Linked DNA regions of Schizosaccharomyces pombe. The gene in region 1 interacts genetically with each later gene. Each region holds a gene or a part of one and is shown in the gene's direction. Other genes may lie near its edges.

Region 1 (10,549 bases):
CTCATCATCTCCTCCTGAAGACCATCCTTTTTTCCATTGGAATGTTGATTATCCGGTTACTGTACGATTGGAACCCTTCAAACATCAAGTCGGTGGACATACGGCTTTCTTCCGGTTTTCTAAAAGAGCCGTTTGCAAACCACTTACAAGAAATGAAAATACGTTTTATGAAACTATTGAAGCTTGCCATCCAGAATTGCTTCCCTTTATCCCAAAGTATATTGGTGTTTTAAATGTGACTCATACTATTACTAAAACAGAAGAAAACGATTCTACTACGGAATATGTCAATACAGAATCATCGTCTAAAACACCTGCCCCCCATAAACACACATTTAACAGCTGTTATCAGAAAAAAGACTATGGATACATTCCAGAGGTTAGTGTTGAGCAAAACCGTCATATTTTTCCTGAATGGATGCTTCCCGACAAAAGATCTCATTCTTATGGAAGCCCCAAATCTTTACACCATAAATCATCTTCAGCCGGAGAACGGCCAGTATCTCCTACTTTCGTGGCTGATATACCGCCCAAAACTCCATGGGGAACCACATTAATTAACAGAAAACTGCGAGAGGAAGTTCTACGAGAAGTTTTTGCTCCCAAGCATGCAAGACGTCGACTTGGAACTCGTTTCCATTCAAGGAGTTCCCATCGACCTTCTGTTTTTCGTGATAATTCGGTTGCTTTTGGACAATTGGATAATGGAAACACATCTAGCCGAGCTCGTGATAAGGATGCAGATCCTAACAAAAGCTTATCCTGTAGCGTTGAAGATAAACATTACGACTTGCATTCCGCCGTTGCCGAAGAAAATGAAGAAGTCGACGAGGAACTCCTCAACGTACCGTCCAATAATCAAGGTAAGTCATATAGACGCTTTTCATCAGATGCTGTTTGGGAAGAACCAGAATCTAACGAGTTTCCTCGGGTTTCTGGTACAATGGAGGATTATGATTCAAGGGAGTCAACAGGACATACAATAAAGGAACTACGAAGTACACCGAACTCGCATGGAACTGTACCCGATGACTCTATTTTTGCTATGGACAATGAAGAAAACAGCGAGTTACCTCCACCTCTAGAACCAGCAGAAATTGGAGATCCATTCAGGAGCGTAAATGATCCTAGGCGAGTACTCTCTCTTCCACACATGGCATCCGCCGATGAAGATCACCGGATTCCAGCAAGCGATAATCAAAACAATAATAATAATGATGCTAATGCCCTCGCGGAAAATTCGGAATCTCAACATTCTACCCAGATTGAGAGATATATTGTGATTGAAGACTTAACGAGTGGAATGAAAAGACCTTGTGTGTTGGATGTCAAGATGGGTACTAGACAATACGGAATAATGGCTACGGAGAAAAAGAAAGCCTCACAAACTAAAAAGTGTGCGATGACTACATCTCGAGTTCTTGGTGTCCGAATATGTGGAATGCAAGTTTGGCATCCTTGGCTTCAATCATATACATTTGAAGATAAGTATGTAGGTCGTGATATTAAAGCAGGAGAGGAATTTCAACACGCATTGATGCGTTACTTAGGGAAAACGGATGACGATGAAGACAATAGCCATCTCTTGGTGCATCATATTCCCACGATAATTAGAAAGCTAGAGCAGTTAGAGCAAATTGTTAGGTTTCTTAAAGGATCCCGCTTGTATGCTAGTTCATTACTATTTTTATATGATGGGGAGCCGCCGCCAAGCGACAAATCCAGCAAAGAAAAAGTCAAGCCTCGTGAAATTGACATTCGGATTGTTGATTTTGCCAATTGTGTTTTTGCTGAGGATAAAGAGCTTTTAGCAAAAGCTACATGTCCTCCTCAACACAAAGACACGTATGATCGAGGATACGTACGAGGTTTACGGACTTTGAGGCTATACTTTCTAAAAATATGGAAGGAAGCTAAGGGAATGCAAATTGCGGAACGGGGCTATGAAGACAGTCTCTCTAATGCTTACGATGAACTTGGGGGATTGATGAGTTATTCAAATGATGATGACTCTTGCGGAGAGACGTCTACCTAATAATTCAAATGGTAGCTTTAAAATGTTGCTTGATGCATTTAGTTTCAAAGCACTCTAGAACTTACATTCATCGCTTTGTTGAATATTTCTTGGCAAAAGTGTTTATCGATAGTTTGCGCACTGAGTTGTTCATTGAGCTCGGAAGCTTGAGACCCGCTATTTATTTATATTACTTCAAATTGGCAATCCGTTATATAAAGAAGTCGTTAGTCTTTCATCTTTCTGTTTCGTTAAATTTCTTAATTCAGTGATTGTAACGAAGCTATGACAGTTGGAATCTTCTTGGATTATAAATTTTTTTTCCGCCCCCATTTGTTGTGTTGTTTGTGTTACAAGGATTACTGGTTTTAATACTTGTATCCTTCTAATGCCCTTAATCTCTCTTTTACTTTCTTATCTTTTAAGATTGTCATGTGTTGATTTTTGTAATGGAGAAAATGCATATTGAGATTGCGCATTTTTAACCGTTCTTTCTTTTTTAGTTTTTTTGTTACATCTGCACCCCTTTATTCTGACTTTTATTTTGGTCTTTGGCATTGCTCATATTATTATTCTCTTAATCATCTCATCATACCTTATTTTTTTATTATGGCATAGTTATTTATCAAAGTACTTTTCTGCGAAGTATCTTAATTTGCCTTTTCTTGGATGCTTGATTTTTCTGTTTATATTAGTATTATTTCGTGGTAGTAGTAGCTTAGTTACACCCTTATCATTCTTTTCTTATACAATAGTCCATCACCCCCATTAACTCTGAAACACATACAGAGTTCTTTTGCATGCTCCTTGTCAGTATAAAGTATTAAATCAAGGTGCGCTGTAATAAATAGCAGTGCGTTGGTCCACGTAATTCATATAGTGATTTCTTAGCTCTCCTTTCAAAGATAATACAGTCAATAGACATATCAAGCTAAAACTACTGACTATTTGACTTCCATGGATACCAGAGGCTATTCGGAAACGAAAAAAGGAAGGTATCCAGTGGGAAAGAAAAGCTTGGAATCTCCTAACGGCTACTCAAATTATGGAACTAGCATGGACAATGAATTGAGTTCAGAGTATGCATCGCGTGGAATGCACATAGGCGATTTAGAAAGTAAGGTGAAGCAGCAGGGAGTTTTGATTTAACCTTTATGCTAGATTTAGTAAATGAAATTGAGGATGAATGGAAAGACCTGGGAAGAGAAGACGTATGTTGCGTGAATAAGTGAAGATTGGAGGATGTTTGAATTTACTAACGAATGGTTAAGTATCAACCGATATCTACAGCGTTGGAACTATTAGATGACAGTAGCTTTGGAAGAGATTATAAGTCTTTTCTGAACGTTTACGATCGAATTAGTGCTGCATTACAAACGATTGCCCATACTCATAAAGATGACTTTACTCGAGGTATATCGGCTTATGGAGAAATAATGGAGGGAATTCAGAAGTGCAATTCGAGAATCATAGCATTAAAGCAATCCCTTGAGGCTTCGCAAGAATGCATTGGTAATACTAATAGCAAAGAGCTTCAACAAACATTGGCTCGTAGTTCTCAATACAAAAAAGTCATAAGTGTGCTCAAGGAACTTAATGAAGCCAACCAGCTGTTTGACAACTTTCATACGCTTGTTGATAGCAAGCAATATTATCATGCCAGCGATTTAATACGTCGTGTATGGGATGAATTAAGTCGTTCTGATTTTGACGGAATATTAGTAGTGGAGCAGTTTAAAAGTCGGATGACAGGACTCTTGTCACATTTAGAGGACATTCTATCTGAAGAGTTGGTTTCAATTACTTTCCTTAAAGATGCTGTCGCTTATCCCATAGTATCGTACTGCTCTCCAAATCCGCTGAGGGAAACTTCCAACCCATATTTTTTGAGAGATTTTTTAAAAAACAATGCAAATACATCAACTCTGGGCCAAAGTGAGCAATTGCGTTACCTAGAAGAAGCGCTTTCTTTAAAGTTGTCGGATTGCTTAAAAATGGATTATGGTAGAGACAGTTTACGTGATATACGTATTGTTTTGGAGTCATTGAATTTATTGGGAAAACTCCCCAATGCTATTTCATCTTTAAAGTCTCGTACTTCTGCGGAGATGTTTACTACGGTAGATTCTACTTCACGTGCAATCGTTAACAAATATTCACTCGGTAATAACGTTTCTACCGTTAATCCCTTTTCAAAATCACTTTATGATATAGGTTTGCACGCTGAGACTGATAGAGAGCATACTATGATTTCCGAGTTCTTGACGAACTTATTTACAAAATTAAGGTGTGTTTTAATGCATTATCGCGGTATCTCCGAATTCATGACCAAATTAGAGACTAAAACACCAAAGCATGCTTCATCTTCTCACAAATCTAGCATTATGTCTGTTAACTCGGACCCCACAAGCCCAAAGGTATCAAAATTTGATACTTCTGATAGCACGTTTCCATTTGATACGTTGCTGCAAGCATTCGAGAGCGAAATTAGGTTAATGTTAAAAGATTATCTTATTTCCAAAGAAGAGTATATTGAAAATAGTGGAAATTTCGTTGTTGGAACTGAGATGTCCATATACAACCTCCCTGGCGAAAATGAAGAAGATAAACTTTTCGACGTAACAAACGAAATTGCTGTGGAGAACAAAAGTAATGCGTTTTATGCCAGAATAAATGAGTTGGTTAACGAAAAGGCTCCAGAGCTTATTCTTAATAAATCAAATGCTTCAGTTTCCACTATTGAACTATTTTCTGGAAGTTCGAAAGAAATTGTACGTTTGGCTGGCCACGTTGTATTTGTTGGGCCTTCGGTTTTTCATGCTTCGTCTGTCCTACCTCAAACCGTATTCTTTTTGGAAGACAGTGTGTCTATTTTGAAAAAGTACGTCAATTAAGTTGAGTTTGGATTATTTTGCTAACAAAAATTTAGCCCAAATATACCTCCTCAGTTTGCTGTTAATTTTATGAAAGAATTTTTAAGGGGAAGTTACATTCCACAATTATACAAGTTTATGTCGAGTCACTTTGACACCATAATGAAAGACGTGGGTGCGTTCCAATTGCACAGAGATTGGAAGATATACTCTAAAATCCCAATTTTTAAGGTATAGTCTCATTAAGAAGCTACGATTAACGTTAATTTTAGTGCCATGTGGCTATTGTTCAATATTTTCACGATCTTCAAGATTATTTGCCTATTGTTGCATTAAATTTGGTAGAATTTTATGAATTATTACATACTTTGCTTGTTCGTTTTCGCAACCATTGTTCTGATTATCTCTCTGGTATGTTTCATTTCCATTTTTTCACTGTTTCCCCAGCTTACCCTTTATAGATTTGTGCAGAACGGCTGTTCTCAAAGAATACAAACATGTCAACGAGGATACTGAAGATGTCGATGATACTGTTCGAGTAAAGCTACTTCACGACGATGTAACGTACCCTCAATTTATTAAATTCCTCAAGCAAAAAAATCCATCACTTGAAGGGTTAAATGAGCTTTGTCGAATGGAGAATAAGCGTTTATTACAATATGAAGATCGTGCGATTACGTCCGAAGTTAAACTTCCGGTATCGGTTTTATCCAAAGATTCCGACCTAGTGAACTCGGTTTCTTATCTTCATAACTCCATGGAATGGTTTCTTCAGCGCTGTTTTTCAAGATTTATGAACGGTTCGCGAAGAATGAACGTTTTGCAACAAAACCAAGCTAATTTCGGTGGTGACTTTTTACCAATTGATAATTTGTTGGGTAATAATTCGGATTTAATGAAGGGGTATGTTACTGTATGTATTGAACTTTATACTGATTTTTATAAAAGTGCATATAAAGAAGTCTTTGATTCTTTACAGAGGCTCCAATTCGATGCTTTACTGCTAATCCGAATGGAAGTTCGGTTACAGTACATTCATAGTATTAATCAAAGTGTAAACCTTCCTGACTATGTTGTCGAGTACCGCGGAAGACCAGATGCTTCGATAATGGCTCTCAACTCTACTATTGTGACGACGAATTTGAAACTCGAAACCTGTTTGAATGAATGGGAACGAAGGTAAATAACAAATGAATTCCTTATATTGATTTGCTAACTTTTTATAGGTTTGTATTCCAAGGTCTGAGTGAACTGGTTGATTCATCGCTATACTCTATCTTTTACAAAATAGAATCAATGAATAGAGGCAGCTGTCTTCAGATGCTGAAAAATATGTCAGCAATGATTCAGATTCTTAAGACGGTTAAGGAAATTCATGGCGACGTTGAATTTCCTAAATCTTCTAGAGTCTTTGGAATATACCAAAATGGTGCCAAGAAAATTATCGAGCACTTCATTGCTGCCCCCAAAAAGGAACTTTTGCCTGACGTTAAACAGATGGTCCGAATTTATTACCAGCGATTAATGAAAGATGCAAAAAGAAACGGAAGGGACGATCTTTATCGGCAGTATCAGAAAAAGATTGGCTCGGTTTTAACTCAGTTCGACAACACTGTGGGTGGTGCGAGAAAAAATCCTTAACCGTATAATATAGAATTTTAATTATAATGACGAGTAATGATTTTATAATAATAAATTTATTAACTAAAAACATAGATGCATTGGATAGTTTAAAAACTACGTGACCTAGTTTCAAAGATTATATTAAGGAAAATGATTTGTTATATATACAGCGTTTTCCTGAAAGACATAATTTACACAAATAAAACATATTCTTCAAAGATGTATCGGAATAACATCAGAAGCACCAAATCCACGACCGCAAATCGGGCATCTGCGTTGCCGTGTTTCAATCCGTTTTTGTATGCATTGGTAACAAAAGCCATGACCACAGAGAGAAATAATTCGATCTTTCCAGCGCTCGAAGTTACAAACTGAACACTTACACATGGCCCTAAAAGTTTTTAACTCTTCAGCTGACGTTGATACCCCAGTATCCTTTAACTTTCGCTTCTCTTTTTCATGCTCTTCATCTTGCTTGGAAAGTATATCTATAGAAGATGATAAATCTGAGCATTGAAATTCAAGGTCTGTTAATGTAGCATTATTTTTATCCATAAATTGCTGTAAATAAGACACCTTTTCTTCCAGGTTTTGAATAGTTGATTTTTGAGATGACTTTTTGACTTGAAACGTTGTTGATTGTTTTATAGAGTTATTTCGAACCGATGATAGACGGGCTAGCTGATCTTCAAACTCTATTATTCTATGGACAGCAGTGTCTTGGCTATTTAACATTTTTGAGATAATTTCGTTGGTCTTCTGGTACTTCTGGCGCAGTAACTTTACTTCAGCATGAAGACTATCTGTAGACTTCATGGTCAGAAAATATTTTTGCTCCGCCTTTTCCTTTTCGACACTAAATTTGGTTATCAATTCTTGATAATGGGAGTGGCTACTTTTCACAGTTTGCTGTTTTACCAACCTAAATGCTTTTTCAGTAGAAGCCAACTCTTTAGAAAGGTAAGTTGACAGATCTTTTTGTAACTCCAAATCGTTAAGGTCTACGAGCCGGATTTTGTTTGCAGCTTCACGGGTAGCCACCGCTTTTTTCTTTTCCAATACCATTGTCTCTAAATTCGCAAGTTCATCTAACTTGTCTTTGTAGACCTTCTCTTTTTGCTTTTTAGCTTCCAACTTCTTTTCAAGGGATAAGCTTAATTCAGTCTTTGCGTTATTAATTCTTTTTTCATCGTTTTGCATAACAGATATTTGATGATCAAGATCGTTTATTAACGGCTGATAGGAAGATTCAAAAACACCGTTAAAATTCTTTGACTGTTGCGACAATACATTTATTTCGTGAGAACATTCGGACAATAAGTGCTCTAATACGCGTAACTGCTCAGATGTCATAGAAACAGCTTCTTTAAGTGCTAAAAAGGAAGAGTATTTTTTCAAGTTTGTAGTTTCGACGTTGTTTAATGCGTTTTCTCGTTCCATAATTAATTTATCCATTTCATTAACGTTCGAATCCAAAATTTTAAGGCTTTGTGAGCGAGACTCCATTAAACCATTTTGTTGGTCTTGAAGCCTGGATAATTGTTGCAGTTGAGTACGTTGTTCAACCGTGCTAACTTTCTTTTCTTCATCTTTCCCCTTAGAGGAGGTGGTTGCTTCCTCTTTCACTTTAGTAGACTGGGGTCTCACTGATTCATTAATGCATTGCAAAGTAAAACTAGACGAGCGATCTGGTAGTTTTATAATTGAATGAAGCTGAGACCGAGTGGTATCCAATTCATCTAAAATCTTGTCAATATCCAAATTAATGGTGTTTAATTTCTCAGTAAGGGCAGAGTCATCAATTGATAAAACTGAAAAAGGATCTCTGGAGACCGAATTTGTGCTTGAGTCAACAGTAGACAAGAGTTTTTGAATGATGCTCAAGGCTTTAGTTTTATTATTTTTCACAGCGTCATTGAAGTATGAAAGCTCCGGGAATTTCTCCAAAATCGAAAAAACACCTTCACTCTCGAAGTCCTTCAGCTCATTGCCTTGAAACACAACGCTAAACTGCTGAAGTATTTCAGGCCACCAAGAGACCAAAGTAGCTAAAACTTTTAATTTCTCTTCTGCTAAATTTTGAAGTCCCTCTATTTTACTTTCTAACTCATCAAATTGAATGCTCCTCACTCTTACATCCTTTAATAAGTCTTCTTTAGAGACTTCCTTTAACAGAGTTAGCGACATGTCTTAACATTCGAATGCCTAAAGGCTCAACACGTTAACATACCTGAATATCATCATCTTGTATTTCTACATCTTCAAGTTCTCTTTTCTGGCCTAAGATTGTGGGGGCATCTGGTTTACCATTCTGATACATTCTCGAAAGTCGTATACATCAACCTATCAATATAAATTTCCTTTTTTTCAGAACAATTTGTTTTTTAACGAAAAAAGAAAACAGCCAAAACCTAAAAGACAGACTGTATTTTTCTTATACTAAACGTAATAACGCGTAATGAATAAGCAAGTTATAGATACGCGTCTTTACAGATCTATTTCAAATTCTCCTTCTTAGTTGAAACTTGCCGTATTGAAAATATGCAATTCGAAGCGAATTAAGTTAATTGCCATTCAATACAATAAAATGGGTAAAAGTGAAGTGGTAGAGGGCAGACACGAGTTTACGATCTATTTACTCAGTCACTAAACTACTTTAGTGAAAAATTGTCGTATTTGAAGAAATTCGAGTTAACTATCCATCTGGTATCCACTTTAACGAAATGTAAAATTGCGGTGAGTTTTCCTTGTGATCTATTATATTGCAACACACAGGTTGTATAAGTAGCAACTGAGTATAGGTATTGTATTAACTGGGTTATAATGTTACCTATCACTAGTATAGCTCATAACTGAACTGAGGAACGAGGTTCAGTTGTAACGCTATTTATAAATGGCTGTTATCAACGGGTATTTATGTACATAGACGAATAGTTACCTGTGATTATCAACAAGCGGATCTTAACTAGTATTTCAACATATGACATATAGTGATACACTACGTTGCGTATCACTATATGTCACATGTTCTAATTATATATCGTACCATGTATGATACGATATGGAGATTAATCTTAATGATAATCTATTCAGATCTATATTATCTGAATACTATAAATAGAGCTACCACTGAACTGAGGAACGAGGTTCAGTTATGAGCTATACTAGTGATAGGTAACATTATAACCCAGTTAATACAATACCTATACTCAGTTGCTACTTATACAACCTGTGTATTGTAATATAATAGATCACAAGGAAAACTCACCGCAGTTCTACGTATCCTTAAATCAGATACCAAACTGCGTAGCTTACACGTAATTACGATAACAAACCATCGTTCTAAACCACAATATTCTATTATGCTGCTCATTATTTTGTAAACATTAAATTTTGTTTGAATTGAACCATTAAACAGAAGGGAAAAATGATTATTAAGCTTGATTAAATTAAGAATCAAGATGAAGGAGAAATGAATGTAACAACGACAATGAAATTGTGAATTTAACAAGGTGGAACAACGAGTTTTCCGATTTCATTAGTTGATTTAAAGTTGTCGTAAACAAGTTAAACCATTATTGTTTGTAGCGTAGAGTACCATTAAAAAAGACAAATAATTAGACTCGCATACATTATAAATAAAGACTTCGGTCCTCAATGCACATTATCCAACATCGTAGAATGCATTGGTTGAAAATCTTTGGTAATTGAAAGAATAAGTTAAGCATATATTCCATAAACTTATAGTGAAAGAGGATGATTAAAGAAAGTTGGTGCTAATTTTTTAAAAAACGCCGCAGCTTCTCTGCATTGGTGATTTTGGTAAAGAGGTTTTCCAACTGTAGCGACAACTACATTAATAAAGCAATTAGACTTCGCTTTCGGCCTCCGTTTCTTCCAAGGGAATGTCATTATTATCGTTGGCACCTCCAATCGCATTTGCTATACCTCCTAGTCGGGTAAGTAAAAAATCATTCATACAGTTGGTTGAATACACATACCTAGGAAAGAAGCTATACCATTCCTGATAAATTTGGGC
Region 2 (6,185 bases), on another chromosome or scaffold:
AAACCAGAGACCATCGTTTGGTGACTTTTTTTCTGGGCCTTGGATATACCGCCATACCATATTAGGTAAAGTAGATTTCGGTGAAAAAGCTTCACTCCAAACTGGTAATACAGTATCGGCATTTATGTGTATAGAATCAACGATTGAATTCTGATTTTCTAAATGCAGCGTCAATTGAATTTGCTGGTGACTAGCAGGAAAATACAAAGTCGTTTCAGCCGCGTGACCATTCCCTATCCATGAAACACATTGCTTAGAAATTGTGATACGACTGTGAGATTGTTGTCTATCCAATGCTTCAACCCTTACGGTTGCATCTTGCGGATATGAAACTTCGCCCAGATCAGAAGTTATCGTAAAAACCACTCGTAAAGCGTATTTAAAGGATTCTTCGAGCTTTTCTTGGAGTCTTAAAATTCTAATATAATAGAAAGTCATTCAAGCGTCCAAATACTTTAAAAATCCTTGGAAAAATAAAGAAAAGGGGGTCTTACAGAAATTTTTTTAATGATCTATTAACGTTCAGTTTCCCTTTAAACCACATTCACCAATCAATGAAATAAACCACTAGCAATGAAATACAAGTTGGTTGAAAAATTTTTTTTTTCGCAATTTGAAAAACTAAAATTCTCTGAAATATCAGATTATCGCCGCAATATGAGAGAGGGTAAACTGATCGTAAAAGCAAAACAATTGAACTAAGTTGTTAATTCATGCAACCCGGTAGCAATCATCATGAAAATAATCTCTGAATTGTTGTAAGAAAAACGCATGGTAGCAAACTTAAGTCGCAAGCAGAGCAACGAGTCATAACTGATAATACGAATATTCACATAAGGAAATGAACTTTATAAACACTCAATTACAAATTTGAGGGCATAAGCAATTGCACTAACACTTTTTTACATGTTGGTTTATTATGTGTTTTGCTGACTTTCCTTTTGTTTGTTACTTTTTTGTTGTTACCAGCGCACCTAAACGAGAAAACGTGTATTGATCCCTTCACATTTTAACCTCACAATACAGAAAATGGAGAATCAGGTGTCCAGTTTTCTAATTGATTCTCCAATGGAATGGAAGACTTATATGAAAAGCTTGAGTGATGATAATCCCAGCTTTGGGGACGTAACAGTTAATTTGACGAAAATTAGCGTATCTTCAAAAAATGCAAAAAGCTACGCAGAAGAAATGTATAATTATGTAACTCAAGAGATGGTATTTATCAGTGAACGTAGTAGACTATTATTGCGCGCAAAAAGAAGGTTGTACAAAAATCAATCACTTATGAAAAAAACGTCTGTGTCAACCTCGAACACAGTAAAGATGGTATTTATGTCACTAGCAAAGCAAATTGAACAAATGCTCAAATTCTGTATGATGGTTTACAGCAAATTGTGCGAGGCGTTTGAAACAACGTTAAAGGTAGCGAAGGAGTTTCAAATTTGCGATTCTTCTCAAGAATGGTTTTTCCAATTCCAATTGGGTTATCATAGAAAACAGATGGAATTACAGATGCTTTCTTTTGTAGCCGAATGGCTTGTTTTAACTCAACATTATACAGATGCTCTGAATGACTCGGCAAAAACACTTTACGACATAATGGAAAGTAGCCATAAAGCGGCACAAAAAGTTTAAAAGCATATTCAAATGTCAAACAAAATTTTCTTCTTTTAAAGGTGCTATTCAATTCATGATTCCAACAGTTGCTGTGCAAATTAAACTATTATCATGAAACAAACCACGGTAAAGTTGGTTGTACTATTGTGTGACTCCTTTTTCAAACTCATCAAAGTACGATTTTCAATTAAATTTTAAACTTTCAATTGAAAGGGTTGCCTCAAAATTGACAAGCCCTTGGTCAACTTTCACTAACTGGTGCTGTTGATTTTCTTCCTATTTAGCAATCACGTTATATATACCGTGTATTTCATTTTGAGACTGAGAGTAGACTTCCCCAATATATTTTAGTAAAACTATCCTTCGAAGGTTTTGTTCATCAATGAATTAATGCTTTACTCATCAAAATATATTATGAAACAATCCTACTTGCGAAGTTCATTCTGTATTACGTATTTCCGTATCTCTTTTAATAAACTGGTTCGCATCGCCTTAATTATTCTAAATTTGATTGTTACCTGAAATGTAGAAGCCAATCTACAGCGCACAAGGACATGTATGTCCTTCGCTAAGCAGTAAGCTGGGGTCTTGCGTAGGCTTTAGCTCATGGTACAAAATTCGTACCTAAACCAAACACCTCTAATCCTTTATTATACAGAAACCATTGAAAAACCCATAGAAAGCTTGATTGAAGCTCATTGAAAGTATGTCAAGCTGTTTCGGAAGTAAAAAGAAGCCTATTTATCGGAAAATCGTAATTCTTGGTGATGGTAAGGATCTTGGTGAAAATTTTGTTTTTTCTTTCGTGATTTTCGCAGCTAAGCATTCTAACCGTAAATTATAGGTGCTGCTGGTAAAACCAGTTTGTTAAATGTATTTACTAAGGGTTATTTCCCTCAGGTATACGAGCCTACTATGTAAGTATCATTAATAGTGCAAAGCTGTAAACGGCGGAGCGGAAATGAGGTTACCGTCTGCAATATCAAGTATAACTCAATATGAAGCATCTTTTTTTGCAAACCTTTTATCTAACGGGTTAATTTGTGGAAATTTGTTTCATTTCTGAGGAAAACGAGAATGCCCGAGTGTGCTCTCCATACAGTCACACTCGTACAATTTCTCATGACCAAACGTCAAATTGCTTTTACTATGCTTGACCTGTTAAGGGTTTTCACCACTTCTTTACATGATTATCTTCTTGTACTTAAAAACTTTTTCCGTTATCTAACACCTAAAAATAGATTTGAAAACTACATTCATGATATCTTTGTCGATGGAAACAGTATAGAACTGTCTCTATGGGATACAGCTGGTCAAGAAGAGTATGATCAACTGCGTTCGTTATCATATTCAGATACACATGTTATTATGATCTGCTTTGCCGTGGATTCACGAGACTCATTAGAAAATGTAATCACAAAATGGCTTCCGGAAGTCTCTAGTAATTGCCCTGGTGTTAAATTGGTTCTTGTTGCTCTAAAATGTGATTTACGTGGAGCTGATGAGGAGCAAGTTGATCACAGTAAAATTATTGATTACGAGGAAGGACTGGCAGCGGCAAAAAAAATCAACGCTGTACGATATTTAGAATGCAGCGCTAAATTAAATCGTGGCGTAAATGAAGCTTTCACGGAAGCTGCACGCGTTGCCCTTGCCGCGCAACCAAGAGGTACAAAGGATGGTGCTGATGAATCCCATGGTACCGGATGTATCATTGCTTGAAAGCACTTTCTTTTGAAAGCGCCTAAAAGTCTTATTTCTAATGTTCGAAGTTTATTATTGTATATGACGTTAGTGTGGGTGTTGCGGTGGCCTTTGAATAGCGTTAACCTTTTTTCAATGGTTTGTACTTTTGACTTTTATCCCCTTTGCTGTTCTCAAGGTTTTAAATTTGACACTTGGGGATTCTGTCCGTTTCCAATGAGTTTATCTCCTTATTTCAGGTGTATTGTCTATCTTTCTTACCTTCCTACTTGAAACAGCAGGTATTTGTACAATCGTGAAAAAGAGTGTTTGCAGTGAACCTTACTTTCCTTCTTTTTTGAAACTTGTACACTTTGAGTTGTTCAATTCTCCTTCTGTTCGTGTAATCGTTGAGTTGCTAATCTAATCAATTAATCTACCCCTTTTCTTTTACGATAAGCATACTGTTGAGCAATAAGGATTAGTCTTTCGGTTGTAAGACATGGGTCTGAGTCAAATCCTACCGTTTTAGAAAGCACCTTAAATATTTATGTAATATGAAGTGTTACCCCTAAATATCGTAATTGAAGTTAAAAATTGTAAAAATTTAGACTACCCAATATGTTGTATTCGTGCATCCGTGCAACCCTAATTCAATTTGATCCATTTGAAAGTAAAACAAAATTTATTATGTCTTTATCCTTTAAATTAAAGATCCCAGTCATCCTCATCGTCTTGAACACGTCGATTGATCTAATTAAACAGTTAAACTCTGGACCATGTAATATAAACAGATGTTTTTTTTTGATATTTCTCTCCTCAGATGAATTTGAAATAAAAAAGGAGAGAAGGAATTAGTAAGGCACTTACCACAATTTTTGTTTCATTACGTTTGGAGACCTCACCAGAAATTTTTTCTAACAATTCGATAAGTTCGGGCTCTGAGATTTTATGAGATATCTGGCCCGTTTTGGCCATACGTAACAGGAGCTCTTCAACAGCTACACAAATTAGACACATGTTTACATTATTCGTAAACAGATATTAAATTATTATCCGCCGCAGAAAATGAAATCACACTTACCTTCAGCACGATCTTTTCGTACCAACGCTATACGACGAAGTCTGTCTCTTGCTGGGTGTTCCAAAATTTGAGAAAGCTTATGAAATTGTTAGTCGGATATGGACCATACACATCATAAACATACTAGATTTTGTCGCATTTCATCTTGTACCTCCTGTTGTTGCTGATTGCTTGATGGACCTGAAGCAATATTACTAGATTTGTTAATTCTTGTAAAAAAAATGGAGTATATAAATAAATTAGTTTCTAAATTCACTATCGGATTTCCTTTGTGTAATTTTAAAATGATTCATTAAATCTCGTCATTTACCAACATAATCCTTCAAGTGAATTCTAATAAAAAATTATAACTTTCAGTCGTAGAGTTTTGAAGTTTATATGCAAGTTTCGAAACTAAGAACATACCTAGGGGCAGAACCATGTTCAGCTTGAAGTTGTGCTAAACGAGCTTGTCTTATAGCTTGCAATTCTTCATCCATTATGAATAAGCCTAATTATTAAGCAAGAACTGATGCACAAATGTTTTTTAATTGAGACTTGTGTAATGCTCAAATTTGTGGTGTTGCAAAGGATTAACGATAGATTTGCGGTACTGCTATGGAATAATAGCAATTAACAAGCGCTAGCATAATCAATTGTGTCGAGAGGACCATATTGGTGAGTAATACTTTTTTTAACTTTCTTTTTCTAGTAGACATGTACTTATTACCCTTATCTTGACAAAGCAGTCTGCTATCACGAAGAAACCTGGTCAAAATCCAGTGTGTGACAGCAACACCTATTCATATAGCATAAGCGATTATTAGACGATTACTTCCAAATCATAGTCAACCCCAAAACTTATTGATGAAGAAGTATTTTCAACGTAAACAATTGGTATAGCTAAATTGTTCAACGAATTAATAATTGTTTGAAACATGTTGTTTAATACTCTTTAATACGATTTAATGAATCACTAGTGTTAGTTACATAACATTACGCTGCATATTTCGTTATTTATCACTACATGGCTTTAGTTATATCATTTGCTATAATTCACCTTTTTTATAAACTCAAGATTATCAAGTTTGAGCTCAAGATAAACCACCTTTCTTAGTTCAGTTGTAAGCTATGCAAGTCTTTTTTATTATCATTGCTACCATTATTTAAATATTCAGAGTAATTTGCGGGTAAACTTACCTACGTAAAATTATATACTGCTCACAATGAAAACTCACCGTAGTCTATCGTATCCTTAACACACTTTATGAACTTCGTAACTGACACCAAAGCGTCTTATGATACAAGTGTATGAACGCCGTAAATTACCTTGACATGATATGTCAGTACTAACGTTAGCTGTTAAAGGAATTTCTTTGTGTTTGACTTAACGCTAAACTAAGTTATATTATAATTTTTTATGCCTGATGTCTCAAATGTGCGTGTAAAACCAAACCAGCATCCTTATGAAAAAGAAGTAAACGGTAAATTAATGTCGCAAGAAGAAATATTATCTCAAAAGCTGGTGGCAGCAATTGAGAGACAGGCGGCTCTTGATGATAAATATGCTACTGAGGTACATAGAAACGAAGCATTGTCAGAAAGGATTAGAGAGCTGGAAGCAAAACTCTCAGCAAAAAAAAGTTTTGACGAGGAGTTAGTAAAGTTTCATAACCTTGAAGAGAAACTTCAGCTTACGGAAACGAAATGCCGTAACGCAGAAAGTGAGAAAAGCCGTGTGGAAAATGAACTAGAAGATTTAACTAGCTCGTTATTTGAAGAAGCTAATCGTATGGTTGCAAATGCAAGGAAGGAGACTGTT
Region 3 (9,388 bases), 510 kb from region 1:
ATAAATATTTTAACTAATGAGAAGGCCCCTCAAAAACCACAGAAGCAGCTTTGCCCAAACGATTCATGATAGCTAGCCCTTCATTTTCCTCGGAGACACCTTCAACCAAAACAAAATCAACTCCCTGCAGATCCAAATCTCGCAATTGAGCGAATAAATTCTTTGTAATTTCATGTCCATCCCTTCCCATATGCAAAAATACAAACGGACAGTGAGAAGGGAATGACTCTTCGTTCCAACGTTTACTACATAAAACACCAATCTTCTGCTTTTCCTTAGTGATTCCCTGCTCAGATAAATACTTTTCAAAAACACCGTATGCATCAGATTCTGTGTAATTGACAAAAAGTAGCACTTTGGCAGTTGGAGAGTAGTGTCTGTATTTCATACCAGGAGTTTGAGGGATGAAATCTGTTTCCATATCACTTTTTTTAGCTACGAATACTTTTGTTCGCTCCCAGGCCCCTCCAGAGCTTTGAATTTCTTCTAAACTTATGCCTCCTGGCCGTAAAATTACGGGAGGATCACAAAGTCCATTTACAACTGTACTCTCCACACCAACACCGCATGCTCCCCCATCTAAAATTAAAGGAATTTTACCTTGTAAATCATTGTAAACGTGCTTAGCTAACGTAGGAGATGGCCTTGTTGAAGCATTAGCCGATGGTGCAGCTAACGGCGAATCTGAAATAGAAATAAGGGCAAGCGCAACAGGATGTTGAGGCATGCGAACAGCAAACGTTTTTTGTCCTGCTGTCACAATTGGTGAGACCGGGGGATTAGCCTCGTCAACAACTGGCAGCAAAATTGAGAGTGGACCAGGCCAAAACTTTTTAATCAACGGTAAATAAACTTTTGGAATAATCTCCTCTGAGTCATGTGCTTGATTTTTTACTTCTGACTTTGCTTTAGGATATGCACTCAACAGCAATCTACGTAGCTGATCCAGAGAAGCAACATGTACAATCAAAGGGTTATCAGCAGGGCGGTTCTTTGCTTTGTATATTGACAAGACTGCTTCAGTCCTTCGGGCATCAGCACCGAGACCGTAAACTGTTTCGGTAGGAAAAGCAACTGGATAATCGGTGTTTCTCAATATATTCGCGGCGTTCTCTAATGCAGAACGAGTTTCTGAGGGAGGTATGGACACCCTTGTGTGTTCAAAAGGATGTTCCGAATCATTACTAGGCTTTTCAAAAGAGATAAGGCGAGTATCAACTGTTTGAATTTTTGTTTCCATTGTCAAGGAAGAAAACCTAAGTTTCTGGCTTACTGAGGCCAATTTTGCTATAAAATTGTAATACTTCAGCTTGTTTTATGTTAATTGATTTAGAAAGAAGAAGCTAAATGCTGATAGAGAGAAGGGTGAAGTTGATTGCTATTATTAAGTTGAAGCGCATCATTGCTGGTTGTCGACTCTTGCAAAGTAAGAGAAATAATTGTTGAAGATATATTTAAAAACTCAAGATTATTTTACTCTAAATACGAAAATAAAATCTCGTTTGAGAAATTTTACTAGAGTAGTGATTGACGACGATCTTTACTTAAAATTTGAATTTAGCTACAGAGGTTGTAAAAAAGAAATGTAAGCGCGACAATGATTTCACGAATGAAAAGAACCCACTTACTGTTTTTATTTGTGGGTTTTTTTTTATCGTTTCTGTTATTTGGCAGGGTAAGAATATATTCTTCCAATACATCCCTTTTGACTAAGCATTTAGTTAATTTGCTAATGTCCAATGCATCAATCTAAATTATATAGCTGAATGTTTAACAAACAAATTTGACTTTGAATTAATCGAGACTGATTGTGAACTTCTATAAACATTCGATCATACTAGATTTTTCAAGCTACAATTTTACCATAATCTATTTCATAGTAAATGGCCAGAAAATTTTTGGAAAACTAACGTACCCAAGATGAATTATAAGGAATTTTTATTTGGGCGTGCAAGGAATGGTCGAAAGAATAAGCATAAACATTATATTTACATGAGATTATAGACATGAACTTCACATGATCAAAGAAGAACGAGTTTCATTCCTTTGTCATTATTGTTACAATATAAAGTTTCAGAAGAATGAAGAGAATTAAACAATACGATCCAAGGATAGCAATAAAAGTCCCATAACGGTAAAGATGCAAAAAAGCAGACGAGCGGTCCGACTACTTCTAGATTTGGCCTTGATTAGTTGTTGATTACCCCCAGACAGCGAATCCATGACATTAAGGGCATCATCATAAAGTTTTTCAGCCGCACTTGATTGAATAGATAGTTGAGCGGATATTTCCGACTGAAGTCTAGTAATATCAGCCAAAGATTTCCCTGTATCACGTAAACGTTCCATAGTATGTTCAAATTCTTGGAGTAAAACATCGTTCTCTTGCTCAAGTTCTTGAAGTTGCTGTTGAGTAAAAAATGTTTGTAATTCAGATTCAGGGATCTCAACAGCTGAATTTTCATCAGTAGGATTTTTTGTTAAAAAGTCTGAAGCAATGTTTCGCTTTTCCTGACCTCGTTTTAATCTCAGATCTTGTAAATGATATAGAACAGAAGAAACATCGGAAAGTTCAGACTGCAGATACCACAGAACAGATGAATGGTGGGCGACTAAAGTTTCCTTTTTCGATAATTTACTAGGGTCTCTTAAACCTTGCAGCCAACCACTTTTTTTAGGGATTTGACTTTGTTGTTCTACTCATGCAATTAGCAAGCATGTCCCTGTGTTTTGTTTATAATTTAAGTAAACATAATTTTACCAGTATTAAAATTTTAAGCTTACCTTTCACAATCTCCTGCAACTTAGCTATTTGATGAATACAGCTACTGATTGCCGAAGAGACTTCATGTTCTATTTCATCCCTTTGAACCTCATCTAGCTCAAGCTTTGAAAGCTCCTCAAGTGAACACTCCATTAAAGGTTTTGAGAGTCTTTGGACATTTGAAAATGTTCTGTCCTTTAAATAAGCTCCACGAATCTTTTTCAAAAATACTAGAAGATTAACAATCGTTTCATGCTGCTAACGTTAGCAATTTGAACTCTCTGATTAGATATAGAAAGCAATAACAAAAGTTAATACTGTCAAAAATTTAAACCAATCCCACTCAATAATTAATCGTATATTATGGTAGCGCATCTCCACAGTGATCAATTGAGTTGAGGTTAAATTTCCGATTGGTTCAATAATTACAGAAAACTCGTCCTCAAACTTACAATTCTATATCCTTCAGCCAAAAAAGGATCCGTATAACTTATTCTTTTCAAAGGAATGTTTGCTGCATCAATGTCGCCATTTTTTGTTAATCCAAAAAACTCATTCGTACGACTCGTCATTCAGAATTTGAGATGCTAAGAAAGGAGAAATATAAATCCCGGGTTAAATGAATTTCAAATTAACAGAACAGATGTTTAGAAAATGGTAGCATTCCATATCCCCTTATGAATAGTGACACGGTAAACGGAATTGAGAGACTTAAAGGTGCTCGTAACAAATGTTCAAAAAAGCAAAAAAAAATACTCCATTGTACGAGTTTTGTTTATTTACTTCAAGTCGATGTCTACAATAAATGAAATTAAGCTAAAGTTTCGCAATTTTTGAAGTATTTAGAAATGAGCTATTTTCAAGTAAACAAACAAACGTAACCAGTTATACACCTCACAAGAATGGAGCGCAGTCAAATTGTTTACAATTTTTGAGTTATTTTTAAAAATTTAGCTTGAAAAAAGTTGTTTGTGTCCTTTATCTCGAAGAAATAAGGTTTTTGTTTTGCTGGTGTTGAGGTTGCTATATAATAACATGGTTTGGGCGACATAAATTCATCCTTTACCAACGCTCTTCGAAACGTTAAATTTGCATATTTATCAAGCATTTTATTGCAATAAGGCTAATATTATTAACTTTAATTGATTTTAACCTTCAGTATTTGCTTATTGTTATACAATATACAGTGATTACCCCTTTTTCTAAAAAGCTGTACTTTCGCATCACATCTGATACCTGCGTTCCTTTCAACTTTTTAATATAATCATCCAAACGATTTTAAAATCTGGTTGACATTACCGCGGAGCTTTAAGCTCTGCATTACGATATATTTTCTCTTTCACCAAAGATTGCTTTCTTCCTTACCATTTATTCCTTAATCAGCTTCGTTAGTATCTTTTTTACAACCAAATTACCAGTTTGGTATGTTAATTCATAATGGCATCTAAAATGCCTGAAGGGTCTCCCCCTACTAGTCGTTCTATTCAATCTCGAAATTCCAGTTACTCTACCTCTTCCAACGAACGTATTGGAACACCCTCTACGATTTCCCTATCTGAAAATTCAGATCTTTCTAAATTACAAAGTACTAATGATTTTGAGTCGCGAGAAGATCTCTCTCTTACTTCCGATGACAATAATGACCCCGAATATGTTATGTGCTACAACACTGTTTATCACCAAAAGACAAAAATAAATGATAAACTTTTATCCGAAACTGAGCAGTTACGTAAAATTTATCCTTTAGAATCCCGTGTATTTCCAAAACCTACCATTGTTAAAGAGATTACCAACGAGCGAACCAAGCGCTACACTTTTTATGACGATGATGCTCCTCTTACTAACCAACATACTGTTTTAGATGAAGCAACTTATAATCGAATTTTAAAAAGGATAGACTTTTTCATTGAAAAAGTCGTTGAAGTCCCACCTACTTACCATTTTTTATCGCTATTAAACGTTCAATTACGTATTCAACCAATTTGGTGGATGGATGAATTTGCTGAAAGAAATGGTATTGAAAGTTTACTGTCTGCTTTAAGAAACCTGGGTCACTATCCTGAACGTGCATCTAAAACACCTCTTGAATCCCAAATAATACAGTCATTATTTCACTGTTTGAACAGCGAAAACTGCCGTCGTCGTTATCAGTCTTCAGCTAAATGCTCTGTTCCAGGATTTAATGCTCTAGGTACTATTGCTGAGACTGTGCTTTCAAAAAGTTTAAATTCAGCTCGCATGGCTACTTTTCTCCTTAAATTCCTTTGTAATAAAAAGGGGTTGAGTTACTTCAAAGCTGTAATCAGGGCTTTCGAATGGCTCGTCGAGCAAAAGTTATCAAAAACTCGGTTTAGCGCATGGATGCATTCCTTTAATGATGTGATTACTGGTGTCCGAGTTTGTGCTGATTCATCTCCTCAAGCGATTGTTCACATGGACGAATTTGAAGATACGGACTGCTTGATTGATTACCTTGTTGCAACTTTAGCTCTCATTCGAGATTTATGTGCTGCTCCACCGGATTTGCAACTTAGGTGTGCTCTAAGGCATGAATTGTTATCTGCTGGTCTTCAAAAGGCCATCGACTCTTTGTTAAAATGGAGAAACAGACACGTCCGTGATGCTCTGCAATTACTAATCAAAGAGCATAATGCAGATGCTCGGCGTTTCCGAAGTGGTAGTGATGTGAATAATGTAGATAGGAAATGCGTAAAGAAACAGATGAACTATAGAGAAGAATCACATACACCTCATGGAAATACTACTCGAAAGACCTCTACTCCTGTATCTAATAATCGACCCACAACTCCGGAACAACAGGCTGTTTGGGATGTTTTTCAAAGAATTTATACTCGCTTTACGGGAAGTGAGGGGTCTAAAGAAAGTTTCATTAAACTACTCGAGTATTTTGTGACTGAACCCGACAACGGAAAAATTCAAAAAAGTATGCAGTTATTGACTCACACGCTTGAGGCACTGGAAGGTTTCAAAACTGCCAAAGCAGATACTAATGTCGGTCTAACGATCCTATCTCAAAGACTTTTAGACAAACTTGGTACCGCAGAGGAGATTGCAGAGTACAAGACAAAGTATAATGGAGCCATGCTTGAAAACAAGCATCTGAAAGAACAAGTTGAATCTATGCTTTCCCAATTGAACGTTGGGCCCCGCGACCCTATGCAGTTTCTGAAGAAACAATTGGATGAATTGAAAGCTGAATTAAATCTTAGAGACAATCTCCTCGCATCCATGCAGCGCGAATTTGAAACGCGTTATAGAGCTCAAATTCAAGCATACAATAAGTTGCAATCCCAAATGGAACACGTGCAGAATTCAAATGAGCAGCACTTACAACCGGGCTTACTTAATAAGGTTTCAAAAAGTTTTGACAGTGTTCATAGAAGAAACCTTTCTCAAGATTCTCTAGATGCGATGACCGAACAGTTTTCTTATCATGTTGAGCCAAATATTTTAAGTGGAAGTGGAATTCCTGTTCGTGTACATACACCATCCAAAACTGAAGATTTGGACGAATCTTTCTCCGGAAGTGAAATATCTTCCTCGCCTTCGCCATTGCTACCAGATGTTTCCGACACCGTAGAAGAGCAGCAAAAGTTATTACTTAAATCTCCTCCCCCACCACCTCCTGCTGTAATAGTTCCAACACCAGCTCCAGCTCCTATTCCAGTTCCTCCTCCAGCTCCTATTATGGGTGGACCTCCACCACCTCCTCCTCCACCTGGTGTAGCAGGAGCCGGACCTCCACCTCCACCACCTCCACCCCCTGCTGTTTCTGCTGGTGGAAGCCGATATTATGCTCCAGCACCGCAGGCGGAGCCAGAGCCTAAGATTGACGAAACCAGCTTAACAGAAGAACAAAAGATTCAACTTGAAGAGGCCAGAAAACAGCGTAAAGCTGCTGATGATGCAGCGAGAGCAGCCATAGAAAAGTATACAAGTATCCCTAGTCTTCGTGATCTTCACAAGCCAACTCGTCCTTTGAAGCGCGTCCATTGGCAACGGGTTGATCCACTGCCTGGACCAAATGTTTTCACAAAGTTCTGCTTAAATTTTGACATTACCGCTAAAGTTTTTATAGATAATGGGCTTCTCGATTTTTTGGATGAGAAATTTGATAACACTCCTAGGGAAGATTTTGTTGCAGTGGAAATTTCTGACCAACGATCTTCTCTTTTACCTGATACAGTTGAACAAAATATGGCTATTATTTTGCGGTCTGTATCTAATATGCCAGTGGAGGACTTAGTTCAAAAGTTTTTAGTCGAACCCGACTTTTTACCGGCCTCAATTTTATACTTTGACCGCGCTAGCCTTGCATCTACCAATGCCTATACCGATCCATTCATTCCTTATAGTACGGATTACACAAAGAAAAATCCAAAAGAACCAACGGCGGATGTGAACAGTTTATCTTATTTTGAGAAATTTTTTGTATTGTTCGTCGTTAACCTTCGGCACTATTTCCAAGAAAGGATGAAAGCTCTAAAATTTCGCTCGACGTTGTTTGGTGATTTGGAAATACTTGAAGTTCGTATGAAAGAAGTCATTGACACTTCGGACAGTATTATGGAGGATAAAAATTTTGCTGAATTCTTTCAAGTCTTACTGATTATTGGCAACTATTTTAATGAACCTTATGATCGAGCATCTGCATTTTCCTTGTATATGATATATCGCCTTGAAACTTTACGAGATAGTTCCTCAGCTCTAACTTTGATGCACTACTTTGATGAGATTATACGAACTCGTTTCCCTGAATTATTGCAGGCGGAATCCACGTTTAAAAAAATTCAGAGTGTTTCCGGATACAATATAGATGCTATGGTTGCGGGTGTAGATGGTGCTTATGATGAATTCTGCGACTTTCAAACGTCTCTCAAAGACGGTGCTCTATCGAAATGCGACCAGCATCATCCAGATGATAAGGCGTACGATATTCTTTCCGAATGGTTGCCTGAGGCTAAAGAAAGGATTAGGAATATTAAAAAGCTTAAAACTGATATGCTCACTAAACTTGAAAACACTGTGAAGTATCTTTGTGAATATGACTCCATTGATAAGGTTAGAAACTCTTTCTTCAAAAACCTGAATTCTTTTTATGAAATGTATTCCATCGCCAAAGCAGAGAATGAGGAACGTTTTGAGAAGGAGAAAAGACGAATCATGTCGGAGGATCGTGACAAACTGATTCGTGGTCGCCAAAAGACATCCATTGTAGCAAAATACAGAAATAAAAGAGAGTTACCAGAAGACTCTGATGATAAACAAGATACGGCCTCCAAGGATAAAAATTCCTTAGAAACAATTGATGAAAAAATGGAAGATGCCAGTAAAATAGAAGGTGATGCTAAGACCGGAGATGATAACGAAATGGAAGATCTTGATAAAATGGAAGACCTTGAAAAACCAGATTATGCTGAAGAAAAAGATCCATATATAACTGTAATGTCAGAATTACGATCTCGTATACAAAATGTCCCTAAAAGGACTGTTACTGTTTATTCCGATGAAGGCGTTGCTACACTTGAGCCCGGAGCTCAAGGGGATGATGTTGTAGATAAGGCCAAAATGATTCTTGAAAAAATGGAAGGACATTCCCAACTATTAACTTCTTCGGCAAATCCTGATGAGGAGGTTTTACGTGCCAAACTGAAAGCTGCTGAGCGTTTGCAAAAACCTGCAATTCCTAGAACACGCCGTAAAGGCCACACTGAACCAAAGAGTGCTAAGTCACTACTTGCAGAACTAACTAACGGGTCTAATGCTTCAAATCTAGTTGAAAATGACCGCCAAAAACAATAGTTGCTCCATTGTTCTTTCTAGGATGGATTTTTAGAACAGTATATCTGTACATTACATACATTGACGATTTGTCTGAAAGAAGTTAAAAATTTGTGTGCCTGTATTTTTTGAAGCTGCTTCAAAATATATTGGTGACACAGTTATCTGTATTATTACGCATACCGCTTGTCGTTAAAAAGGCTAAATTTCCAAAAAACTGACAGCAAATACAATCACTTGTTTTTCCAAGTGCTTAGAAGTACTGAACTTACGTTGCAAAACGTTGTTCATTTTTGACTATCCTTTTTTGCTAAATGTCAGCATTTTTATTTGAAAAGAGACATGTTGGGATAACGATTCATTAAGGGGAGCTTTTTATTACTTAACTTCATTTTTATGAAGCTAACAGAGAACAAATTTGGATAAGCGTCGCACCAATTGTAAAAGGAATGCCCAATCGCTTTATTTAGATCGACTAAAATGTTGATGTTTGTTTGAAATCTCCACCAAAAATTTTATTCTATTGTCATCTTTATTTATTAATCTTTTTTAATCATTCGTTTAAACAGTCCTTGTTGTTTAATTATTTATTGCTCCTATTTTCAACTGTTGACCTAGCTTTTGAAATATAGGATGAAGCGTTAGTTTCCTGTATAAAACTTGAAATAAATGCAATTATGTTTTAAATTTTGTAAGTATCTAGTTTACGACATTGTAAATTAGAAAATCTTGTTTGTTTTCTATGTGCTGTCAATTCGTTTCCTTAATTTTTTCCCTTCTTATATAAACGACCGAGTCAAGAAGCAATTTGTATTTACAACA
Region 4 (6,474 bases), on another chromosome or scaffold:
GCGTCTTGAAAGTTTAATTGCTGGCGACATTCGCCAGCAGCTGCAAGAGCACATTCGCGAATTGTATCTTCAGGAGAACCCAGGTAATTAGCAATTTTAAATGCATCCTTATGCTCTTTTTTTCCCTTCATTTTGCATAAAACAAAGTCAGATGGAAGACGTATTAATTGACAAGGAACTTTAGTCGAAGAAAAAAATATACAATCAAAAGAATTGAAAAAAATATTATCATAGCTCTGTTCAAGTAAACTTTCATATAGAACATAGCGTTTCTCTACGTCCAATGCTTTGATTTCGCGTATAGATGAATTGTTTTCCAGTCCGTTTTCACCATTTTTTCTAGTGTATACCACAAAAACAAGCCCAAAACTAGAAAATAGGAGTTCAAATGTACCATCGACACAGTATGTGTTTTGTAACTGCATATCAGGAGTGGTATAAACAGAAAGAAAGGAGCCACCAGCGCACATGATATACTTTCCTTGATACTGAATTGAACAAAATAAAGGTATACCATGATTGGAAATGACCTTTTTGGTGTTATTTTTTATCTTATAAACCATAACCTGAGTCGTGGTAGAAACAAATAGTTTTTTAGGTGAATATAAGATAAGATTTGTTATAGAATCTTTTTCTCTTAGTATAATATCTTGTCTTGATCCCAAATCTCTTACAAAATCACCTTCAACGCGTATAACCAATCCATTTGCAAATCCACAAACCACGGTTTTAATATCAATCGAAACATACAGTGAAGTTGCAGGAAAAGGTGGATTCGGAATTCCATATAGTCGATGCTCGTAAAGACATAAAGGTGAGTTTGAGTTTGTTTTTTTAGATGGATTCAAGGACCAAAATTGTAAATAAACAAAGTTTTGCTTATCAAGCTACAACCAACATAAATTATGATTAGCATTTAAACATATCATGTGACTTACAACAACACAGCATAAAGCCGATTGATCTGCAGTTATGTAGATTTGTTGGACAATGCCTTGTTCGCAAGCGTAAAAATCACGAATGAGTTGCAAACGAGAGTTCAAAATAACGATTCGTCCATCCAACGTGCCAATTGCAATTCTCTTTGTACTTTTTCCAATGCAACTGATTTTATTTCCCTAATTTCATGTTAGTGTACACTTCCTATACTTTTAAACGTACCACTGAATCATGCAGTATTTTGATACTTGGACATTCTTGCCATTGGAAAAGTGAAAACTTCTCCCACTGTTTCAATGTTAGTAAGGATCTATATGTTTGATCTACCTCGTTTATATTCATAAAACTATCAAGTTTTTGATCAAAATTATTTACGCTGTAGGTGAAATCCGAGGATTTCTTTAAACCACGTTCCAGTTTTTTAAAAGCTTTAAGAGGAATAATAAATGTTTAGGTGCAGTACTACTGTACTACATAAAATAACGAGTATTACTGAGGTAACACTTACTGTTCTATACAGTTATTACTATAATACTTAGTACAACAGATACAATTAAGAATAACTTGTAATGGTATTCACATTACTAATAAACTTCTAAATTCATCTGTTTGGGTATTCATTACATATTCATCAACTAAGCAAGTCTTACATGCGTCCAAATTTGTTTAAGACAAGAAAATATACCATCTATGCTTAATAAACAAACTTCATCTCTTCTAGTACGCAAATAAATACATTAAATTTATTTTACATTATAATAAGATTCATCACTTTCTCAAAATTTTGAAACCGGAAACGGAATTCAGCATGTTTTAATAAAAAGATGAGCAACCGCGTTCTTACTAAATACGCAATTCTGATAATTTGGGAATTGAATAGTTAGTAATTTTAAATTTAATCATTAAAACATACCAAAAAATGGGCCCGTTCCTTTTAACATTTTGCTCAGACCAAGTGAAAAAAACCTAAAACGCGCTCAAGAGGAACAACGGACGAGCTACACTCAAAATATTAATGAATGGGTAGTCAACTATTTTACTAGCGAACAAGCAAAAGCTTTGATCCATGGATCTCACGTAATGTAAAATAGTATCTTACCCTAAGCATTATTTTTTTGAGAAACAGGACGTTCATTATTGTTTGCCGCAAAGAATCCAAGTTCAAGGAAATTGAATACAGACCAGAGTTGCTATTCGTTTGAATGTACATTGTGACCACAAGTCGGTTTTTGTTTCCTTCCAAATAGTACCTTCAACACGAAGTTGTACATTTAGCACGGACAAAGAATCGACCAAAAAACCAAAATTAAATGTAGAAGGAAAACCTTCAAGTCATTTTTTTTATAATAGCTCTTTTAAGTTCCATACTTTTTATCTCCGTAACAAATGCCAAAAGAAGCTAGTATAGACGAGAGCATTCAGCCAACAAATTTGCACAAGCAAAAATTGTTACCAATACAATTTAATATTTGTATGGGGAATTGAAACTATCTATAAAACTTTCTTCATTGCTTGATTTTTAGTAACGTTCAGTAATTCAAACGAGACTCTTCTACCAAAAATTCGTTGTGATCTGACAAGCACTTAAATGATGGATACAGATTTTATACAAATGAAAGGTAGGATTAAACTGTAAATGAATTTTAAAGGCAGAAGACTCACGTACACTGCACCCAGCGATTCAATTGATGTCCAGGCCTCTTTTTTCCTACTGTATACAGAAGTATGAAGTCTGCAGCCATAATAAAAGCGGTAGGAATGATCTATGTTTTCCGCAACGCGTCAACGATTCCATGAAGAGCCTCTCTTATGAATATTCCTAATGATCAAAACTCTAAAAAAAGCTAAAAAGAATAATTTCGCAATGCTGAAAAGTTGAAGAGTACGGTTACACGAAGCAGTACAGGAATTCGAAATCCATCGAAAACAACTATCCAGACAAACTGAAAAGCTAAACAGACTACTCGTTCTTTCTAGTAGACAGTATACAGGTTTTGGAATAGCAAACTATACTTAAGGCCTATGAATCATTTCCTTCAAACTTTCAAATCAATCACCAAGCCCTCAAGAACCGTTTGATTAATTTTCCTTGTCAACCTTCTAAGCATGGGCGTTGCGTTGAGTATAAACAAAACAGCAATAAATCCGAGTATACATGAATTGTTTCCTTCTTCAAACAAAACGCTGTTACCTTTGCGCGTATGATGACTTCCCATACTTACAAAAATTTTCAAAACCTAACAGTAATCTATAAATTTTAAGGGCTAACATTACATTCAAAAGTTATTAGAATGTTGCTAATAAATAGCCAGAACATTATTTTTATTATTCATTCTCATTTCTTACTTATTTAAGTGAATTAAAGAAAATGCGTAAATTAGATTTAATCCGTTAAAGTACAAGCAAGTCCCGAGTGGCTCAATCGGTTTAGAGCGTCTGACTCTTATGATGGTCATCAGAAGGTTGCGAGTTCGAGTCTCGCCTTGGGAGTTAATTTTTTGGTTATGGTACTTCAAGGCCAAGTAGAATAATCAATTAATTATTATGTATTTTTACTTCAATAATTTAGTTCCCAAAACCCGTTACTTTATTAATTAGTATAAGCTGATGAATTCACTTATTGAGTCGCCAACTTAACGATGAGGTGTTAGACTAGCCTGCCATATATACTTTTGGCGGTAAATATTTCAATTTCGTTAGGTATTTTTATCTAACTAATGTACACGTTTCTAGCAACCTGAAATGTAGGCTTGTAGAACTAGTTGAAAACAGAACGTTTGGATTATATGAATGATAATGAATACACCGAGCATCTTTTATTAGGCAGACTCAACAATTGACAACTTTGCAATGTCCATTGAATCCTAAAAATAAAAATAGACAGGTATATATACCTATAATTTTTTTGGTGGCTAACAACCTAACTTTTTCAATTAAAACAATTAACCGGCATAGTCCTTCGTAAATTCCATGCACACTTGATAAATTTAAATATGTTTCATCGCGGATATTCCGTTTACTGTTTTATATATTTATTTACCTATTGTTTACGTGCTGCGTTGTCATGGCAATGTTTAGCTTGGAAATACCAGCAATCTCAGCTGGTAAGCAAACATTAACAACAACAAAGGCAATATGTCTGCTTTCAAAAAGAGTGGATCCAAGTCAGGTAATTCAATTGTTCCTTTTTCTCAAATATCTTAAAGTTTTTGCTAATTTTTCAGAGACTTCAAAGAAACTTGTGGTCGTAGGAGATGGCGGTTGTGGTATGCTTGATAAATATAGGTGAATGACAGCTGGTCTAATGTACTAATGCTTGATGTATAGGAAAGACATGTCTTTTAATTGTATTCTCAAGCGGAACTTTTCCCGAGGTATGCCAATAGATCGAACAATAACTGTTTAAGTGCAGTGTTCATATGATTCATGTACTCAGTTCACTTGAATTATCTAAGTATACTGATTTCTAACATCATGCTAGAGATATGTGCCTACAGTGTTTGAAAATTATATCACCGATATAACATATGGACCGAACAGCAAAGTTATTGAACTTGCTTTGTGGGATACTGCTGGTCAGGAGGAATATGATCGTTTACGTCCTCTAAGTTACCCGAATAGCAACGTTATTTTGTTGTGTTTCTCAATTGATTGTCCGGCTTCTCTGAATAACGTTACGGAGAAGGTATGTGCTCTATAATTTATATTGCTAAACGTAGCTTTGGGTTTCTTCAATGTCATTTGCGTCTAGCCATTAGTATTTCATCTTTCTCATATTATTTTCTAACATTTTTCTTTCAGTGGTATCCTGAAGTTCAACACTTTTGCCCTAGAACTCCCATCGTTCTCGTCGGGCTAAAAGCGGATTTACGCAAAGATAGGAATGCTACTGAAGTACTAAGAACCCAGGGTTTAACACCAGTAACCTACCAACAAGTATGTCAATGATAAGCTAACTTTTTTCTTTCGTTTATTTTTTTTAACATATTTAGGCTCAATCCGTTGCTTTATCAATGAACGCTCCATATGTCGAATGCTCTGCCAAAGAAAACACTGGTGTAAATGAAGTTTTTCAACTTGCTGTTGGCCTCACTATAAAAAAATCATTTTCGTTTTCTAAAAAGTCTTGCGTGATTTTATAATATCTTGATCATGGCCTTTATTTACTTAATCTTACCATTTTTGATGTCTTCATTTTTGCTTCGCCTATTTGTATAGCATTTGATGAGATTGTTGGAACATAAGAAGCAAGAAAAACGCTTTATTTACGCATTCTAACATTGCTAATTGCATATAAACCAATACTCCAAACGTTTGCTGCAATAGAGACATTATGCTTGTATGCTTTCTTTTAATCTAAGCATATTGTGTAGCAGTTTCCTTTTCAGAATTTTGCTCCTATCTCAACTTTTTATCTTTTCAGGTATTTAACTAGCCAATATGGTTTAGATGGATTATCGACTATTGGAGCTATTTTGTGATTTATAATTTGTTTATTAAGACGTTATCTGTTTGATTCTGAATATATGTCAGCAAAAATCAATTGGTCTTAATGTTTTTTTTTACTTTTACTTCAAATATGCCTATATTTGTCCGAAACTTTGAAAATCGGTTTTTTAACCCTGACTGGTTCAGGGTATTCATGTCGTGAATAAAACGATAGTTATATAGAAGATATTGAAATGAATACTTATGATTCCTTTTACCTTTTTATTATGCTAAACTGCATTAAACCCCTTTTATAATTTAAATAATACCATTAAAATGGTAATTTCTAAAAGGATTCGTATAGTAGTAAAGAAAAAGTTTACTATGCAAATATTAACATCAACAGTTGTTCTGCCTCTCAGACGATGAACGGCTTATTTAAAAATTGGCAGCTTTTAGAAGAATATAGGAAGATTAAAAACTAATATATATATACAAACACATTATTAATGAAGTGACTTAAGGTTTGTGTATTGTAATATGTAAGTTAATTTAAAAGAATCCTGACCTTTGACCAATTTTTGAGGACGCTATTAAATTTATAGATTCATAAAAAACATATAATAACTAATAATTTAATTTAATATGCAAATTCTTTGAAACAAACTGCGTTAAGGCATATGTTTAGCGGCAATGAAAATACATTTAGAAAAGAACGACCATCAAGGTGCATCTAGCATTTCACGATCTTTCTTCTGTAACACTGAATTTTGAAACTCCTTCCAAAGAGACGCGACATTTTCAAATTCCTTTCCAACACCGTTAATGCTTTCAAGATTTTTATTTAGAGCTGACATAAGATTCACAACTTCATTCATACTTTTTGAAATTTGTAAGGTCAAAAGACGACGCCTTCTTTCAAAATCTATATCATCAAAATCTTTATTTTGCTCATTTTGTATGTTTTCAGTAATATCCATATTTTCTGAGGACATGGTATGTTAATGGCTAGTGTCAAAGTCAAGCATGAGCCAAAGTTTATCATAAGGTTACAATCAAGTAGATCTTATATTAGATTTAACTATCTTCATAATTAAATGCCAAAAT

What was found.
Region 2: mutations in sec8 (region 1) and rho3 are lethal when combined (synthetic lethality), as found in Schizosaccharomyces pombe (2 studies listed by BioGRID).
Region 3: mutations in sec8 (region 1) and for3 are lethal when combined (synthetic lethality), as found in Schizosaccharomyces pombe (3 studies listed by BioGRID, with this or other methods).
Region 4: mutations in sec8 (region 1) and rho4 impair growth when combined (synthetic growth defect), as found in Schizosaccharomyces pombe (2 studies listed by BioGRID).

The regions. Positions count from the first base shown.
Region 1 is NC_003421.2:488,349-498,897, reverse strand, and holds sec8 (exocyst complex subunit Exo4), read left to right. Parts: upstream 1-2,964; 5' UTR 2,965-2,971; coding exon 2,972-3,131; exon of another isoform or gene 3,132-3,175; coding exon 3,176-3,225; exon of another isoform or gene 3,226-3,285; coding exon 3,286-4,895; exon of another isoform or gene 4,896-4,912; intron 4,913-4,943; coding exon 4,944-5,118; intron 5,119-5,159; coding exon 5,160-5,298; intron 5,299-5,348; coding exon 5,349-5,790; exon of another isoform or gene 5,791-5,835; coding exon 5,836-6,066; exon of another isoform or gene 6,067-6,113; coding exon 6,114-6,528; 3' UTR 6,529-6,723; coding exon of another isoform or gene 6,724-8,676; 3' UTR 8,677-8,740; coding exon of another isoform or gene 8,741-8,830; 3' UTR 8,831-8,882; downstream 8,883-10,549. Other genes in the region: kcs1 (inositol polyphosphate kinase), read left to right, coding at 1-2,035; histone H2B-K119 ubiquitin ligase complex (HULC) subunit, ubiquitin-protein ligase E3 Brl2, read right to left, coding at 6,724-8,676, 8,741-8,830; wtf antidote-like meiotic drive suppressor Wtf9, read right to left, coding at 10,379-10,461, 10,512-10,549.
Region 2 is NC_003424.3:1,039,212-1,045,396, forward strand, and holds rho3 (Rho family GTPase Rho3), read left to right. Parts: upstream 1-2,237; 5' UTR 2,238-2,323; coding exon 2,324-2,387; intron 2,388-2,461; coding exon 2,462-2,534; intron 2,535-2,768; exon of another isoform or gene 2,769-2,858; coding exon 2,859-3,339; 3' UTR 3,340-3,872; downstream 3,873-6,185. Other genes in the region: efm6 (methyltransferase), read right to left, coding at 1-438; karyogamy protein Tht2, read left to right, coding at 1,030-1,635; SPOM_SPAC23C4.09C (chaperonin-containing T-complex associated protein), read right to left, coding at 4,009-4,053, 4,171-4,301, 4,385-4,460, 4,509-4,578, 4,790-4,863; guanyl-nucleotide exchange factor Sec2, read left to right, coding at 5,784-6,185. UniProt on the Schizosaccharomyces pombe protein: Involved in controlling cell shape and septation. Regulates cell separation by modulating the function of the exocyst complex. Involved in post-Golgi vesicle transport. Involved in driving sexual development in a palmitoylation-dependent manner.
Region 3 is NC_003421.2:998,929-1,008,316, forward strand, and holds for3 (formin For3), read left to right. Parts: upstream 1-3,821; 5' UTR 3,822-4,201; coding exon 4,202-8,587; downstream 8,588-9,388. Other genes in the region: SUA5/yciO/yrdC family protein Sua5, read right to left, coding at 14-1,240; SNARE protein Ufe1, read right to left, coding at 2,092-2,696, 2,785-3,019, 3,217-3,336. UniProt on the Schizosaccharomyces pombe protein: Involved in controlling polarized cell growth. Required for interphase actin cable formation and microtubule organization.
Region 4 is NC_003424.3:3,082,964-3,089,437, forward strand, and holds rho4 (Rho family GTPase Rho4), read left to right. Parts: upstream 1-4,049; 5' UTR 4,050-4,074; coding exon 4,075-4,108; intron 4,109-4,163; coding exon 4,164-4,205; intron 4,206-4,266; coding exon 4,267-4,313; intron 4,314-4,420; coding exon 4,421-4,624; intron 4,625-4,740; coding exon 4,741-4,875; intron 4,876-4,931; coding exon 4,932-5,081; 3' UTR 5,082-5,656; downstream 5,657-6,474. Other genes in the region: SPOM_SPAC16A10.03C (Pep5/Vps11-like zinc finger domain-containing protein), read right to left, coding at 1-887, 939-1,118, 1,162-1,227, 1,267-1,281; DASH complex subunit Dad1, read right to left, coding at 6,090-6,362. UniProt on the Schizosaccharomyces pombe protein: Required for cell separation. Involved in the regulation of the septum degradation during cytokinesis and in the organization of F-actin patches and cytoplasmic microtubules.